Saccharomyces cerevisiae S288C: one gene and its partners. The protein of the gene in region 3 interacts with the protein of the main gene of each other region in a biochemical or structural test. Each region holds a gene or a part of one and is shown on either strand. Other genes may lie near its edges.

Region 1 (4,088 bases), on a different chromosome or scaffold from region 3:
AAAATCTTTGCATTTGTCATCCTATTTTTATATGTAAGTTTTTGAAGTGAAAAAGATATCAGTAAACCATAAGCCCTTTTTTATATATTATGGATCCTTCTAAGAGAGCTACCTTGCGTTTTTTGTACATCTAGCAATGTAGTATCAGTCCAATTTGTAATTATCATTGAAAAAACAATTGATGTTAACACCCATTCCTTTTCATTTTTTGCAGATTTTCGATTAATAGTGGTCATTGCTGTTTTCCTGTAAAACATTACCAAGTTTCGCCGCTCCCAACATGAATGCTTAAGTTTAGTTCAAAACGGTCATGGGATGGACCGTTACCGTGAACTGAGATTTTAAACAATGGGCTTGAAGTCCTAAGTAATGCACAACTATATATATATATATGTATATTTATGAAAAAAGCGTTCATAGGTGCTAGTTGAAAAGTTTGCATGAAGCTCGTTAAAGCTAATTATATCGCGGCGAATGCAAGACAAGAATTCATTTTTACGCTAGTAAAAGGTTGAAAAGGGGTCTGAGTGTTCCAGTCCGTTGAATAAGATGCCACTGGAACCCTGTTTACCATTTCTATGTCGGAAAGTGAACCCAACAAGTTTTGATGATACTGCCGAGTCATCTACCATAGCCGTTAATTTGTCTTGTCTTTTGAAAACATCAGCATATTTGGCCATGTCAGCCTCACTGGTGAAGTCATCAAAATAACCGGCATCAGTTTCGCTGTCTAGTTGGGGTGTAAAAGGCGGGATCATTGACCTCAAAGTACTAAAGTTTATATCTGCAAAATAAGACATGCGTTTAACATGTTCGAAGGATCTTAATCGATTGATTGGATCGGCAATCAATCTTGTTATTAAATCCCAAGTTCTATCGGAGAATGCTGCCCTCCCATCAGATTGTCTCGGTCTTCTTAAAGTTTGTTTCCAGCGCCTTAAGTTGTCATAGGTCTCATTAGTCGATGATCCACTAAATGGTGTATAACCAACTAAACTTTCGAACAGCATACAACCCAACGACCAGTAATCCACAGTAAAGTCATATTTCTTTCCTTCTAAAACCTCCAAAGCCATATAATCCGGAGACCCAACCATGGAGTTCGCATAATTAATTTCCTTCTCCCTCAACTGGTTGTACATTTTTCTTCTATCTTCTATAGATTTCTCTGTAAACGCTGGAAATTCCAGGTCCTTGATTTTTTCTAACCTTATCTTCATACTTTCAATTCTTTCATTAGAAATCGTACCAGCAGCCAAACCAAAATCTGTTAATTTTATATGTCCCTTGGCATCGATTAAGAAGTTTTCCGGCTTTAAATCTCTATGTGTATAGCCTAAATCATGTAACGCATTAACAGCGCAAAACATTTCACTGATGTAAAATCTCGCATGGCCACTTTTCAAGCATCTAGTATTTATTAATAATGTACGAAAATCACCGCCTGGTACAAATTCCATAGCCAGGTATAAACTTTGTAGGTCTTGGAATGCATACAGAAGTTTTACTAACCATTCAGACCTTGTCGTGGTTAGGATATCTCTTTCAGTTAAAACGTGTTTTGTCTCGTTGAGCTTAAACAATAGTTTTTTGTTCAAAATTTTCAAAGCACACACCTCTTTTGTGTCTTTCTTTCTGGCTAAATAAACTTGCCCATAACCACCTTGACCTACTTGTGTGATCATTTCAAAATCCCTATTTTTTGGTTTCAACCTTCTTTTTCTCAAAACCTGATGTTCCCTTTGTAAGTAAGAGGACCACTCTTCGTTGAGTTTAATCTGGTCAGAATTCGGAAGTTGGCTTTGCTGTTGCAGGTATTCTAGAACTTGCTTCGTGCGTTGTCTTCTACTAATTACATAGTCAAACATATCACAGTAATGTTCTAGAAAGTACATTTTGCAAACACTAACAACTCTCTGTGTTTTATTTGAAGTTGCTCTTTCGTAAAACTTTGGTGGAAGCTTCTTGGGAGAGTTCGAGACATCCATATCAGGTTGAGATACTTCGTCTATGTCCATGTTGGAAGTATCTTCGTAAGGAAAAAAGGATGGTTTTACCGGCGAAGGTGAATCATTGATACCCGCAGGCCTTGTCCTCCTCTTTGTTATATTTTGGTTAGGAAATAGTCCAGTGCCCCCAGGAGTCCCATGCCCATCGAAACTCAAATTGCTCATATTGCCTGCCAAGAGGTCGACATTTTTTTCTGATTTTGATAGCATATTAAAGAATTTTTCTTTAGCAAGGAATACTGTAGATGTTGCTTGAATTTTTCTGGTATATTAGTTTCTATCTTTAGCAAGGTTTCTATCTTACAATAATTTACTTGGACGAATTGCCTCCTTGTATTTATTTTTAAATAAACAACAAGCGGAGGGCTTCAACATCAAGGTAGCTTCGAATGATTTAGATTGAGGAATGAAACATGTCATTGTTTACTTTTTGAATAATTACATTTCCTAAAAAGGGCATCTGGGTTGCAGCGTGTGGTGTTTGGCTTTTTACGAAATTTATGAGCGAAAACGCTCTCGCCGGTCACTACTATATAATATCTTTTTAAATATTATCAAGTATGTAGAAGAGCCCTAACCATGACCGGAAAACCAATTGGTCTCTTCTTCTGGGTTAGTATGCTGTTTCTTGTGCATTTGAACCATCTCTGGCGACAGATTCGGTTGCTCTGTATTATGACCCAAGGAGATTAGGAATTCGTCAGCTTGCTGATTAGCCTCAGAAATCCTGTGCTTCATTACCTTTGTTAGCTTGGCTTGATTACCAGCAGATCTTCTGGAACCTGATGTAGCTCCTACTGCTTGTTGTAAAGAAGTATTAGACATACCCAAACCAACTTCTTCACCATAGGAATCAAGAACAGTTTGTTCTTGCTTGCCAAATTCCATCCTATTTTGTAATTGTCTGACATGCGATAGTCTGAATTTTTCCTTGTACTTCCTAAATTTTCTCCCAGCTCTTTTCTTTTTGGGTTGGTCCTCCGGAATAGGTAGAGCCTTCGTTTCAGAAATGCTCGGGGCTTCTGATAGCTTTCTAGCTTTCTTCGATAGTTCGGCTTTCCATTTATGAGCTAAAACTGTATTTCTATCACCGTTTTTCTGGCCAGCATCAACTCTTGCGGCTAGTGATACTTTTGCACAAAGCATCCTAAGCATTTGTTTATGGACAGAAACGGGAAATTTCTGAATCATGTCAGAAGCAAATAGATATCCTTCTTGTCGTACTCCACTCTCTAATGTATGTAACTCATGTGAGAGGTGCTTATTCTTCCCAATGGACGCAATGTTGCAACTGGGAATGCGACTGAACTCCAAAACCCCTCCAGCATGTGCTATTAATTGGGCTGCTATCTCCGGGCCTACCAAGAAACACACGTTAGGGGCAATTATTGATATCTTTGAGGCTATGTATTGACCTATATCTTCTTGTAGTTTCCATAAATTTTCCAATATGCTATTTGCTTCTAAAATTTGCGTCCTCGTTTTGATGTCCAATGGCTCTTTGTTTTTGAAAGACGTCTTCATGGACATTGTTAAAACGAGGATCTGCTCTCTGGTCAATTTTGCTTTATTTTCCAAGTGGAAAAATAGTTCATCACTTTCGTTTTTTGAATAATTTTCATTTTCCAGTATGCTTATCACTTTTGAGTATTGTAATGGTGATGGTATCAATGAAGATAGTTCTGGAAAACGTCTACTGTACAGTGAGATTAGAAAATTGTGCATTAATTTTATATTGCTCTTGATGAGGGGGATGATTTCGTTAAAAAACGGTAACAGTTTAATGAAATCTATTTCTTGTTGTTGAAGGATTCTTTTTAAATCGACAATTTTTGGTAAAATCTGTGCTGTCTCTGATAGAGATAACCTATCAGGACTGATGAGTGCCAACGTCCTGAATAATTCTATACTTTCCGGAAGAATTTCGAATGGATTGAATTTTTCTGTTTGACAATTTACCGTAGTGAGCTTTTTAGTTTGTATGTCTTCTTTTTCCTCATTAACTTCATCGGCAAGGTCATATTCGAGCTCATCGAAATAGTCCTCTTCAGAGCTCATAAGGTCTTTGTATATTTTCTG
Region 2 (3,904 bases), on a different chromosome or scaffold from region 3:
ATTTCGTCCCTAGGAATTTGGGGTGTGTGTTGAACTGAAATTTTTTTCTGTACATGGGGAAACAGTTGGCAAAAAAGTACTCCTTTTCTTCGTCCAGATCATGTGCACTATTTGTTTGGTAGTTTGCTGTGGAAGGTATTGTAACGTCCGTAGACATCAAAGAGAAGTTGTTATCTATCGGCACAGTTCTTGTGTTCGAGGCATTATCCAGGATTTTCCAGTTCGCGTGGTCGTCATAGTTGGGCTCGAGTAAGCTGCTTGAGTAATTCTCCTTAGTGGTGTGTTCTTCTTGATCACGGGTGGTGCCAGTCGTGAGTGGGTGGTCCGACCCTACCTCTGTATTCGCATTATGCATCTTCGAAGCCACAATATGGAAGAGTTCGAGCAGTGATGATTTCTCCTTAACTGTAGGGTCTGATAGTGTCTTGTTATCAGCTTCTAGCCCAGCAGTGGAGGAAGAGCGCGATGGCGTTAGCGATAGTGATGATGATGATGGTGAAGTCTTTACTATAGCGGGGAGCTCATCGCTTTCGCTTTCGCCCTGTCCGGTAGTACTTCTGAAGAAGTCAATCTGACGAGCCAAATCTCGCAGCGGCTTGATGGCTGAAAGTAGTCGAACATTTTCTCGCTGACAGATGGGACACGCAGTTTGCTTGTTCGAAGTTTCCCTGCATAAATCATTGAATAGCGATTCAGATATACAGCAGCCACACGTAAGCACAGAGCAGTCTTTGACTATACCGTATTGCACATGTGATTCGTCAGTACCAGTTGCACCATCGAGTGATAGCCGTTGCGGTAGATAGAGGTCGTGTTCTATATCGTCGAGCACCCTCGCTATATCCGTCTGGCGGCCCCACTTTTGTCTATGAGAGTGCATGAACGCCTATCAGTTGTGTATTTCGTACCTATGTATGTGTGAGTGTGCGTGTGCTAAATTTTACGGGTATCTTTTCAGTGCTGATAAGGTAATCATTGATGACTACTGTAATGGTAATGTTAATAAGACGAATAACTCCTCCGCTTGAAAAAGGTGTGAAAATCAAAAGTGCGCCTCATGAAATAATGATAAAGGAATCTTTATATAGCAAAGTAATCAACAAAAACGACTCTCGGTAGCCAAGTTGGTTTAAGGCGCAAGACTGTAATTTACCACTACGAAATCTTGAGATCGGGCGTTCGACTCGCCCCCGGGAGATATTTTTTTCTGAAATTTTTTTGGCTTTATTTTTTCATTAATACACCTGTGTTAGTTATGATTGCCACTAGCTTATATACGTGACTTCTGTGACTTCTGTGACTACTGATGTGTTTTTAGTAGAATACAACTGTTTTTTTCTGTAATGCGTTTTCACATATTGGCACCAGAAAGTGTCGTTACTTTATAAAGCAAGCGACTAGAACAACAATCACACACACACACACACACACACACACACACACACACACACACACACACACACACACACACAAGCTATGAGCCTGATAACGTGAGTCATTCGTTTTTTAGCCGATAGTAGAGATATGCATTTGAAGGCCATTGCTATTGTGTCAATCAAGAAAGCTGTATCACTTTCAACGGGGAATGTACTTTTAGCACCATAAGTTTTTCTTCACTTGGTTCAAAGGTAAACAAATTGAAATTGAAACAATAATGTACCAAATATTTCCGATTCGTTCGAGGTATAATACGAAACAATTGCACAGAGGCTGGGACTACAAAGTACGCTTATAAAAAAAAAAAAAAAATGCGTAGGAGTGTATACCTCGACAACACGATCGAGTTCCTGCGAGGCAGAGTATATCTCGGTGCATATGATTACACGCCGGAAGATACTGATGAGCTGGTGTTTTTTACCGTGGAGGACGCAATCTTTTACAACAGTTTCCATTTGGATTTCGGTCCCATGAACATTGGACATCTATATCGTTTTGCCGTTATTTTCCATGAAATCTTGAATGACCCAGAAAATGCCAATAAAGCCGTTGTTTTCTATTCATCTGCATCGACCAGACAACGTGCTAACGCCGCATGTATGCTTTGCTGTTATATGATCCTCGTTCAGGCATGGACTCCGCATCAAGTGCTTCAGCCGTTGGCGCAAGTAGACCCTCCCTTCATGCCATTTAGAGATGCCGGTTATTCTAATGCGGATTTCGAAATCACAATTCAAGATGTGGTTTATGGCGTTTGGAGGGCTAAGGAAAAAGGCCTTATTGATTTGCATTCCTTCAATTTGGAGAGTTACGAGAAATACGAACACGTGGAGTTTGGAGACTTCAATGTACTCACCCCAGATTTTATTGCATTTGCGTCACCACAAGAGGACCATCCAAAGGGCTATCTCGCTACCAAATCTTCACATTTGAACCAGCCGTTTAAGTCAGTTCTGAATTTTTTCGCCAACAATAACGTCCAATTAGTGGTAAGGTTGAATTCTCATTTATATAATAAAAAGCATTTTGAAGACATTGGCATTCAACATTTGGATCTAATTTTCGAAGATGGTACATGTCCTGATCTTTCCATTGTAAAAAACTTTGTTGGTGCTGCTGAAACGATAATTAAAAGGGGAGGTAAAATTGCTGTGCACTGTAAGGCTGGGCTAGGTAGAACTGGTTGTTTAATTGGTGCTCACTTAATATACACGTATGGATTTACCGCTAACGAGTGTATTGGCTTCTTAAGGTTTATAAGGCCGGGAATGGTCGTTGGCCCTCAACAGCATTGGTTATATTTACACCAGAATGATTTTAGAGAATGGAAGTACACAACCAGAATTTCTTTGAAGCCTAGTGAGGCCATTGGCGGCTTATATCCCTTAATAAGTTTAGAAGAATACCGCTTACAAAAAAAGAAACTTAAAGACGACAAGAGGGTTGCGCAAAATAACATTGAAGGTGAATTAAGAGATTTAACCATGACGCCGCCATCCAACGGTCATGGGGCGCTTAGTGCCAGAAATTCGAGCCAACCTTCTACGGCGAATAATGGAAGTAATTCATTCAAGAGCTCAGCCGTCCCACAGACTTCGCCTGGTCAGCCGAGAAAGGGCCAAAACGGTTCTAATACTATAGAAGATATCAACAATAATCGTAATCCAACTTCCCATGCGAATAGGAAGGTAGTAATAGAAAGCAACAACTCAGATGACGAATCCATGCAGGATACCAACGGCACAAGTAATCATTATCCCAAAGTTTCGCGCAAGAAAAATGATATCTCCTCTGCTTCATCGTCCCGAATGGAAGATAACGAACCCAGCGCAACGAACATCAATAATGCCGCAGATGATACCATACTAAGACAACTATTGCCCAAGAATAGGAGAGTAACGTCAGGGAGAAGGACTACAAGCGCCGCCGGTGGTATAAGAAAAATAAGTGGCTCCATCAAGAAATAATTTATTTCATTTTTATATATATATATATCATATAATAAAAAAACTTACTAATAATAACCTTGAAAAGTTTTATGCCATTTTTCCAGTGTCCCTTCTCGCTGTCTTTTCGAAAGAGTCATATGTATACCGGCAATAGTAACTTGCCTGATTTATGCATAATGCCGTTGTATTTGCTAGCCAGTTTTCCACCGCTGTCTGTGGGTTGCGACCATGCTACCTGGTACCTAGGAATAACTTCACCGTAAACAATATTTTCTCTTGCAACGTCAATCAATTTGGTTGCGATACCCAACTTCCTTGCTGTCCTGCACACCCAAATTCTCGATATGCCAATCTTAAAATCGGGGTACACATTCTGTACCAATCTTCTAGAATCATAAACCATCCAACGTCCACGACTAGATGTTTTACCATTGCCCCCATAAAGGTTCTCTATAATTATTATTCCGACCGCCCTGTCATTTCTTATGTATACAAACGCTTTGCCTTTTTCTTCTGTG
Region 3 (6,378 bases):
TGGCAGGGTTTATGGTCGTCGATTTTAAAGAACTGCTGCTAGCCGCAGACGATACCGTTGTTGTATACCCTTGCGCTACAGCGGGCATAATACTGGATGAGATGGTGGAGACTGTGTCTGATGTAGTTGAGGTAGAAGAGGACGAGGATGAGGACGAGGAAACAGTGCTTATAAGTGGTTCCACTTCCTCTGCAAACTCACCCAGGTAGTTTCCAGGAGGGTTGTAGGAGCACACAATATAATTGTTCCATGTCGTACCACAATATTTATAACCACATCCAATCTCGGCGGTTGACTTCCAAACCACCTGTGTGAAGTGACCCGTGGATTCAGAAAATCCGGGATTTGAATAATTATACTTGCTTATCTCCCCGTACCAGGCGTCCACCGCTCCCGTGTCTGTGTAACCAAGGGCAAGGTTCTCACCATATGGGCCATCGGAATGCGTTAAGACACCCGAACAATCATATTGGTCGGCGTAGTTCTGCGCATAGGTGGCCAGAGTGTCGGACCAGGTGAGCGGCGCTGTGTCAACATGTAGCGCTCTGAACTTGTTATGCTCGTTCAGCACATCGCTCTCGAAGTTTGGAAACGTGGTTTGTGCCTTGACGGCTACTAGGCATCCTAGCAGAACTGATATTGGAAACTCCAGCATAAGCGTTTTCGTTTTAAGTTGTTTTAAGTTGTTTGGAGTTGCAGGGGTGCAGCAATTATAATTTTATGCCGATATTGGTTTGGCAACTACCGAAAAGCAAGAAGCTAAAAACTTTGAAGTATAGAATATGTTTTAGAGAATTCTTCGACCGAGTTGAAACATGAGAACTGTTTCATCGGCCCTATATAGCAATTACATCCTTCCGTTGCTGGGTCCCTGCCTAGATACCATATTTGTTGTTGAATTAACCGCGGGAACCCGCAATATACGAAAGACGAACACAAGAGAGCAAGCACACACAGCTAGTGCGTAGCGTTGCTAGCTATATTGCCATGGTACCTACCTTTCACCTCCTTGTTAAATCCATAAGTGGACGGTTTTCCTAAACCAGTATTTATCAGTTCTCGAGCACGCAGAGAAAAGTAAACGAAGCGACCTGCATTGCGGTAACTATAAACACCCAGCCGCCTCCAGCAGAACCAGCCATGTGCGAAGAAAAACAATTTTTCGGCCAAACTTACCAACAATAGCGACGCGTTCCTCACATCGTTGGGTTTTTTTCGCCTCTCTTCAAGTTTCCTATACCCGAGCTTAACACAACACAACGGACCCTCTTAATTAGAGGTATCCTCCGTTCTTTTCTTCCGCTTTCCTAATCGAGATACCAGAGCACGGAACAGGACCCTAGTGCATCGGAGAGGAGATCCGTGGCACGCTCACTGCGCCTTTCACTATCACCGATTTCGTAATTCGAACAGGAGTATTTCGCTGCAGGGGAATTACTGTTTGTAGACGAGGGAAAGCAATTATCAGATACATGCCAGGGATAGCGTTCAAGGGGAAAGACATGGTTAAGGCAATACAGTTTTTAGAAATAGTCGTTCCTTGCCACTGTACGACCTGAACTTTACTCAACGAAAAAAAAATTGGAAAAAAAATAGTGCATAACGTTGCTATTAACAGATGTAGTACTGATATGTCCCTGATTGGTGAAGAGTCAGAATGATATAAGCCTATTTGATATGTACGTGTACGTATTCGAAAATAAGATTTGTTTCTCGTAGGGAGCGATATGTGCATTATGTTACCCGTTCCACATGTTTTGAACTTTTTTTCTTTTTCATGGTAAGCGTCAATAATCAATTTGAATAACTAGTGAAGAGTAGCTAGCACGATGAAATAAGTGCCGGAGCTGATCGAATCCCTAGTCTCGGTTCGCCTGAAACAGAGAGAAGTCGATTACTGTACACCGTGCCTCCTTCTATGTACAAGCTACAAGTGGTCTTGGTGCCTCCGAGTCTTCAGGCGACGATGCCAATACAGTTTGGCTACGGACCAACCATCGCCGAATCTTCTCAATTGTTGCCAAACAGAACTAATATGGCGCAAAGCGCCGGAGATGCCTCTTTGCAGTATGCTAATCTGAGATCTGCCAATGTGAGTTTCACGCCAAGCTATTTCAACCAGTCTAGGTTTAGGAAGTTTCTTTTGTTTACCAAGCCGACAAACACGCTGTTGAACTTGAGTGATGAAATCATCGATAAGTGTGAAAAAATGTACCCGAGTTTGCAAGAAGACATTGAAATTTTGAGTTTGCAAGATAACAGCGGTTGTGACCTTGATCCGGATTTTTTGGTAAAGGACGTTTTCAATGTAAATAATATCGTAAGAGTTATATTGAAGAATGAGATAGATCTGGACGATTCCGCACCAGTGTCACTTTATAAGTCGGTAAAACGATCCAAGTTGAACAACGGGTCGCCCCAGTCGGTGCAGCCGCAACAACAAATCCCGTCCTCTTCAGGTGTTCTTCGGATTGCCAAGAAGAGGCCACCTACAGGAACCACGACAACAACAACCATTCGTAGTGCCACTAATGGATCCATGAGGGTTTCTACCCCATTGGCTAGGCAAATTTATCCTCCACCTTCTTCGAAGATCGTCTCCAACAACTCAGATGACGAAGACGAAGACATTGGTGAAAGATCCTTTTTGCCGCCTCCAACGCAGCCTCAGTCACCTCCCATAAGAATTAGTTCGGGCATTGACGCAGGTAAAAAAATAAAATCAAGCATCGTCGAGGAAGATATCGTGTCCAGATCAGCAACCGTGGATCCAGATAAAACAAAGCAGCAACGTCTATTGTCCGGAACTCCTATAATGTCCACCATGACTCCAAACAGAGTTACTCTTACCGGTCAGAGAGTGGTTTCTGAACACGCACATAAAAACGAATTGGTTTTCTCTGCTTCAGCTTCTTCCTCTTCATTTGCTAATGGTGGCACAGCTGCTGTCACTGCTCAGGACATTAATAGGAAACCACCCGTAACCACTCCAAGAATAACATCAGGAATGTTGAAAATCCCCGAGCCAAGAATCTCAGAGATTGAAAAAGAGTTAAAAGAGGGACCTTCCAGTCCGGCCTCCATTTTACCCGCTAAAGCTGCAAAGATTCCAATGAAAAAACCTTACTTGGAAAATGGCGAGAACTACGAATCCGACGATAGCTCAAGTAGCGAAAACCAAGAAACTCCTGAAACAGAACCACATTCAAAGGCTTCCTTGCAACGTAGTCAAAGCTCCATCGCAGATAATAATGGCTCTCCGGTGAAAAATAGTCCTCTCGGTGATGCCATGCCACACAATGTGCATTTAGCAGAACTTCCCAAGGCAAGCAATACCTCGATCACCAAATCTTCAAATGGCGAATCCTGGGGAAAGCAACAAGAACATCAACCACCAAGAAAGAGTTCACTGGAAACTATAGTGGAAAAGAAATCTCAGGCGGAACCTTCCGGTATTGTGGAACCGAAAAGAATGACTAATTTCCTAGATGATAATCAGGTAAGAGAAAAAGAAGATACGAATGATAAACTTTTAGAAAAGGAAATTTTGCCGACAATTCCACATAATGATCAGCCAATACTTGCATCATCTGATAAGTCTAATGGGACGTTGAAATCACTAGCTGGGAAAGTTAGTTCAAACAACAACGCTTCAAAGGAAGATGGCACTATCATTAACGGCACCATTGAGGACGATGGCAATGATAATGATGAAGTTGATACTACGGTTCGTATTGTTCCTCAAGATTCAGATTCCTCTAGTTTCCCAAAGTCAGATCTTTTCAAAATGATCGAAGGTGATGATACAGATCTACCGCAATGGTTTAAGGGCAAAAATTCGAGAACTTCCGGTAATTCCAAAAATTCAAAGCCTTACACAACGGTTTTGAATAAAGACATAGACAATTCTAAGCCAGATCCAAGAAATATTTTGCCCCAGCGAACCCCAAGAAGTGCGGCTAAGAGGGCTGCCCAATTATTGGCAGGTGCCAAGAAAAACGAAGTCCCACAGAAAAGTACTGAAGATTCTAGTTCGGCAGCGTCCACAGACGATGAGTCAGAGAGTGGGATTGAAACAGATTTCTCATCAGACGATGATTTTAAAAGGAAAAATATGTCGGTGCCTAATAATGGGCCCAAAGACATTTCTTTACATTCTTTGAAAGGCAGTGTTGTTCCAGTGAAAGACTCAAAGATAATCAATAAAGAAGTTGATGAAGAAAGAAACGACAAAAGAGATAGTCAAAAAAAGTCAGCCGTGAGTGAATCTTCAGTAACAAATAGCAAAATAAGTGAACAAATGGCGAAAAGCTTTTATCCGAATTCAAACAAGAAGCAAAATGAAGCTACAAAGGTGGAAACTAAGCCAGCAACACAAGCATCGTCTTTTCCTGTTGTTGGTGGGTCTCCTTCTGTTGCTACTAAAGGAACTACCTCTTTCAATGAAGAAGGAAATCGTAAAAATGTTAAAACGAAGGCCAAGAATGAGTCTGCGCAGATTGATAGGCAGCAGAAGGAAACAACTTCTAGGGTTGCAGATTTGAAAAGCGCAAACATAGGAGGTGAAGACTTGAACAAGAAAGCAGAGGGGTCCAAGGAACCAGAAAAAGCATCTGCCAATATACAGGATGCTAACGATAAAAATAACTCGAAGGAAAAAGAAGACTCCAAAAGCAAACAGGTATCTCAGAAAAAGTTAAAAATGACAGATCACTTAAAAGAAGGCAATGTTCAGCTTCCTAAGCCCAGTGCAAATGATAAATTGAAGGATTTGAAGGCTAAATTTACTAATAGTAAAACACTCGTGCCACCTGGAATAATTTCTAATGAAAAAAATAATTCTAGTGCAAACGATGATGATTCTAGCTCCTCAGGTTCTTCCACAGAAGACGAGTCTAGTTCATCTTCCTCGTCTTCTGATGAGGAAACTTCAACATCCAGGAAGGCTAGAAGAGTTGTTGTAAATACACCAAGAGAACCAGTTAGATCTTCATCTAAGATTGAAGCCCCCTCTCCATCTGTTAACAAAAAAATCAATGCCACCCCTGATAAAATTCCAGTTACACAGCTAATGGACATGTCGTCTCCTCCGTCAGTTAAATCCAAGACCACCTCAAATCCGTCTAGTATACTTCATGACCTTCCAAGAAAAGTTCGTCCTTCTTTGAGTTCATTATCTGATCTTGTTTCAAGAGGCATCCCAGATGTAAAGGAAAAAACTTCTAAATCGAATGAGAAGTCACAAACAAAAGCCCCTTCAAGTAGTGATGATGAATCTAGCTCTGATTCTGACTCTAACTCCAGTTCGGACTCCGTATCGGATTCCAGTTCAGATTCTAAATCTGAGTCAGATTCTGATGACTCAGGGGATTCATCTGATGATGGAAAAAGTTTTATTAGTGCGAAATCCGCTAGTGCTGCTTTAGGTAAGAAGAAGAAGCCAAGTGGTGGATTTGCATCATTAATAAAAGATTTCAAGAAAAAATGATACCAGAAAGTCTCAGTAGAATACACGTCACAGAAAGCTAGTAAAAAAAAATAATCAAGCATATAAAAGTATTAATATATTAAAAAATCTTCATGTAAACCAATTCTTATTTACCTCTTTTCCCAGCAAGCGGGCAACTTCTTTAAGAAAAGTAATCTTTTTTGTACGTCGAATTATCAAAGCTTGGTTACTATATTTAACATTATTGTTTAGTAACAGTATCATCTTAAAAGAAAATTTTTTAAAATTCCAATATAGGAGACAATGGTAATAATTACATACAAATAGCTATTTATGTAAGCAAAACTGATATTTTTATATACAAATCGTTTCAAATATCTCTTAGACTTCAGCGAATTTATTGCTACCTCTAATGAATCCGATTGCTTCTTCTCTATTGACCTCAATAACCGTGGAAATCTTATTCTCGTACTTAACACGGAAAAATTTGTCTGCAACTTGCAACATATCTGTTCTGAACGTCGTACAAATAAACTGGGCATTTTTTGACAGTTCTTTTAGAAGTGTAGCGACTGCAGTTCTATACTGCTTGTCGAGTGCAGCATCAATTTCATCAAACAGATAGAAGGAAGCAGGGTCAACCATTTGGATTGCCAGAATCAAAGCAATGGCACATACAGTCTTCTGACCACCTGAGAGCTGTTCAACATGCAGTTGTTCGTTTTGTTTAGAATTGAAGGAAACAGAAATTGAAACACCTGTATACATAATTTCACTATCTTTACCGTTTTGGCTTTCATTGGATTCTGCATCCATGTCAACATCAATACTTTCATCATGGTCGTTAGCGTTATCATTCTTACGGTGAATAATCAACTTAGCAGTACCTCTGGGAACTAATCTTTCAAAAACAGCTTCAAAGTTTTCAG

What was found. Proteins that work in one complex are often made in the same cells at the same time.
Region 1: of the proteins of NET1 (region 3) and DBF2, one has a biochemical effect on the other in vitro, tested with the Saccharomyces cerevisiae proteins (2 studies listed by BioGRID).
Region 2: the proteins of NET1 (region 3) and CDC14 form a complex in vitro, tested with the Saccharomyces cerevisiae proteins (6 studies listed by BioGRID, with this or other methods).

The regions. Positions count from the first base shown.
Region 1 is NC_001139.9:666,320-670,407, reverse strand, and holds DBF2 (serine/threonine-protein kinase DBF2), read right to left. Parts: upstream 2,220-4,088; coding exon 501-2,219; downstream 1-500. Other genes in the region: DRN1 (Drn1p), read right to left, coding at 1-20; U4/U6-U5 snRNP complex subunit PRP31, read right to left, coding at 2,583-4,067. UniProt on the Saccharomyces cerevisiae protein: Ser/Thr-protein kinase involved in the mitotic exit network (MEN) and required after the metaphase to anaphase cell cycle transition. Phosphorylates CHS2 to regulate its dynamics and chitin synthesis at the division site during cytokinesis.
Region 2 is NC_001138.5:207,913-211,816, reverse strand, and holds CDC14 (phosphoprotein phosphatase CDC14), read left to right. Parts: upstream 1-1,748; coding exon 1,749-3,404; downstream 3,405-3,904. Other genes in the region: PTR3 (Ptr3p), read right to left, coding at 1-880; ECO1 (Eco1p), read right to left, coding at 3,520-3,904. UniProt on the Saccharomyces cerevisiae protein: Protein phosphatase which antagonizes mitotic cyclin-dependent kinase CDC28, the inactivation of which is essential for exit from mitosis. To access its substrates, is released from nucleolar sequestration during mitosis.
Region 3 is NC_001142.9:293,327-299,704, forward strand, and holds NET1 (Net1p), read left to right. Parts: upstream 1-1,918; coding exon 1,919-5,488; downstream 5,489-6,378. Other genes in the region: PRY3 (Pry3p), read right to left, coding at 1-655; YJL077W-B (uncharacterized protein), read left to right, coding at 721-819; ICS3 (Ics3p), read right to left, coding at 1,340-1,735; YJL077W-A (uncharacterized protein), read left to right, coding at 1,473-1,559; APQ13 (Apq13p), read right to left, coding at 5,134-5,550; cohesin subunit SMC3, read right to left, coding at 5,831-6,378. UniProt on the Saccharomyces cerevisiae protein: Has a role in chromosome maintenance and is involved in mitotic exit. Inhibits the action of CDC14 by sequestering it in the nucleolus. Also binds to RNA polymerase I and stimulates rRNA synthesis.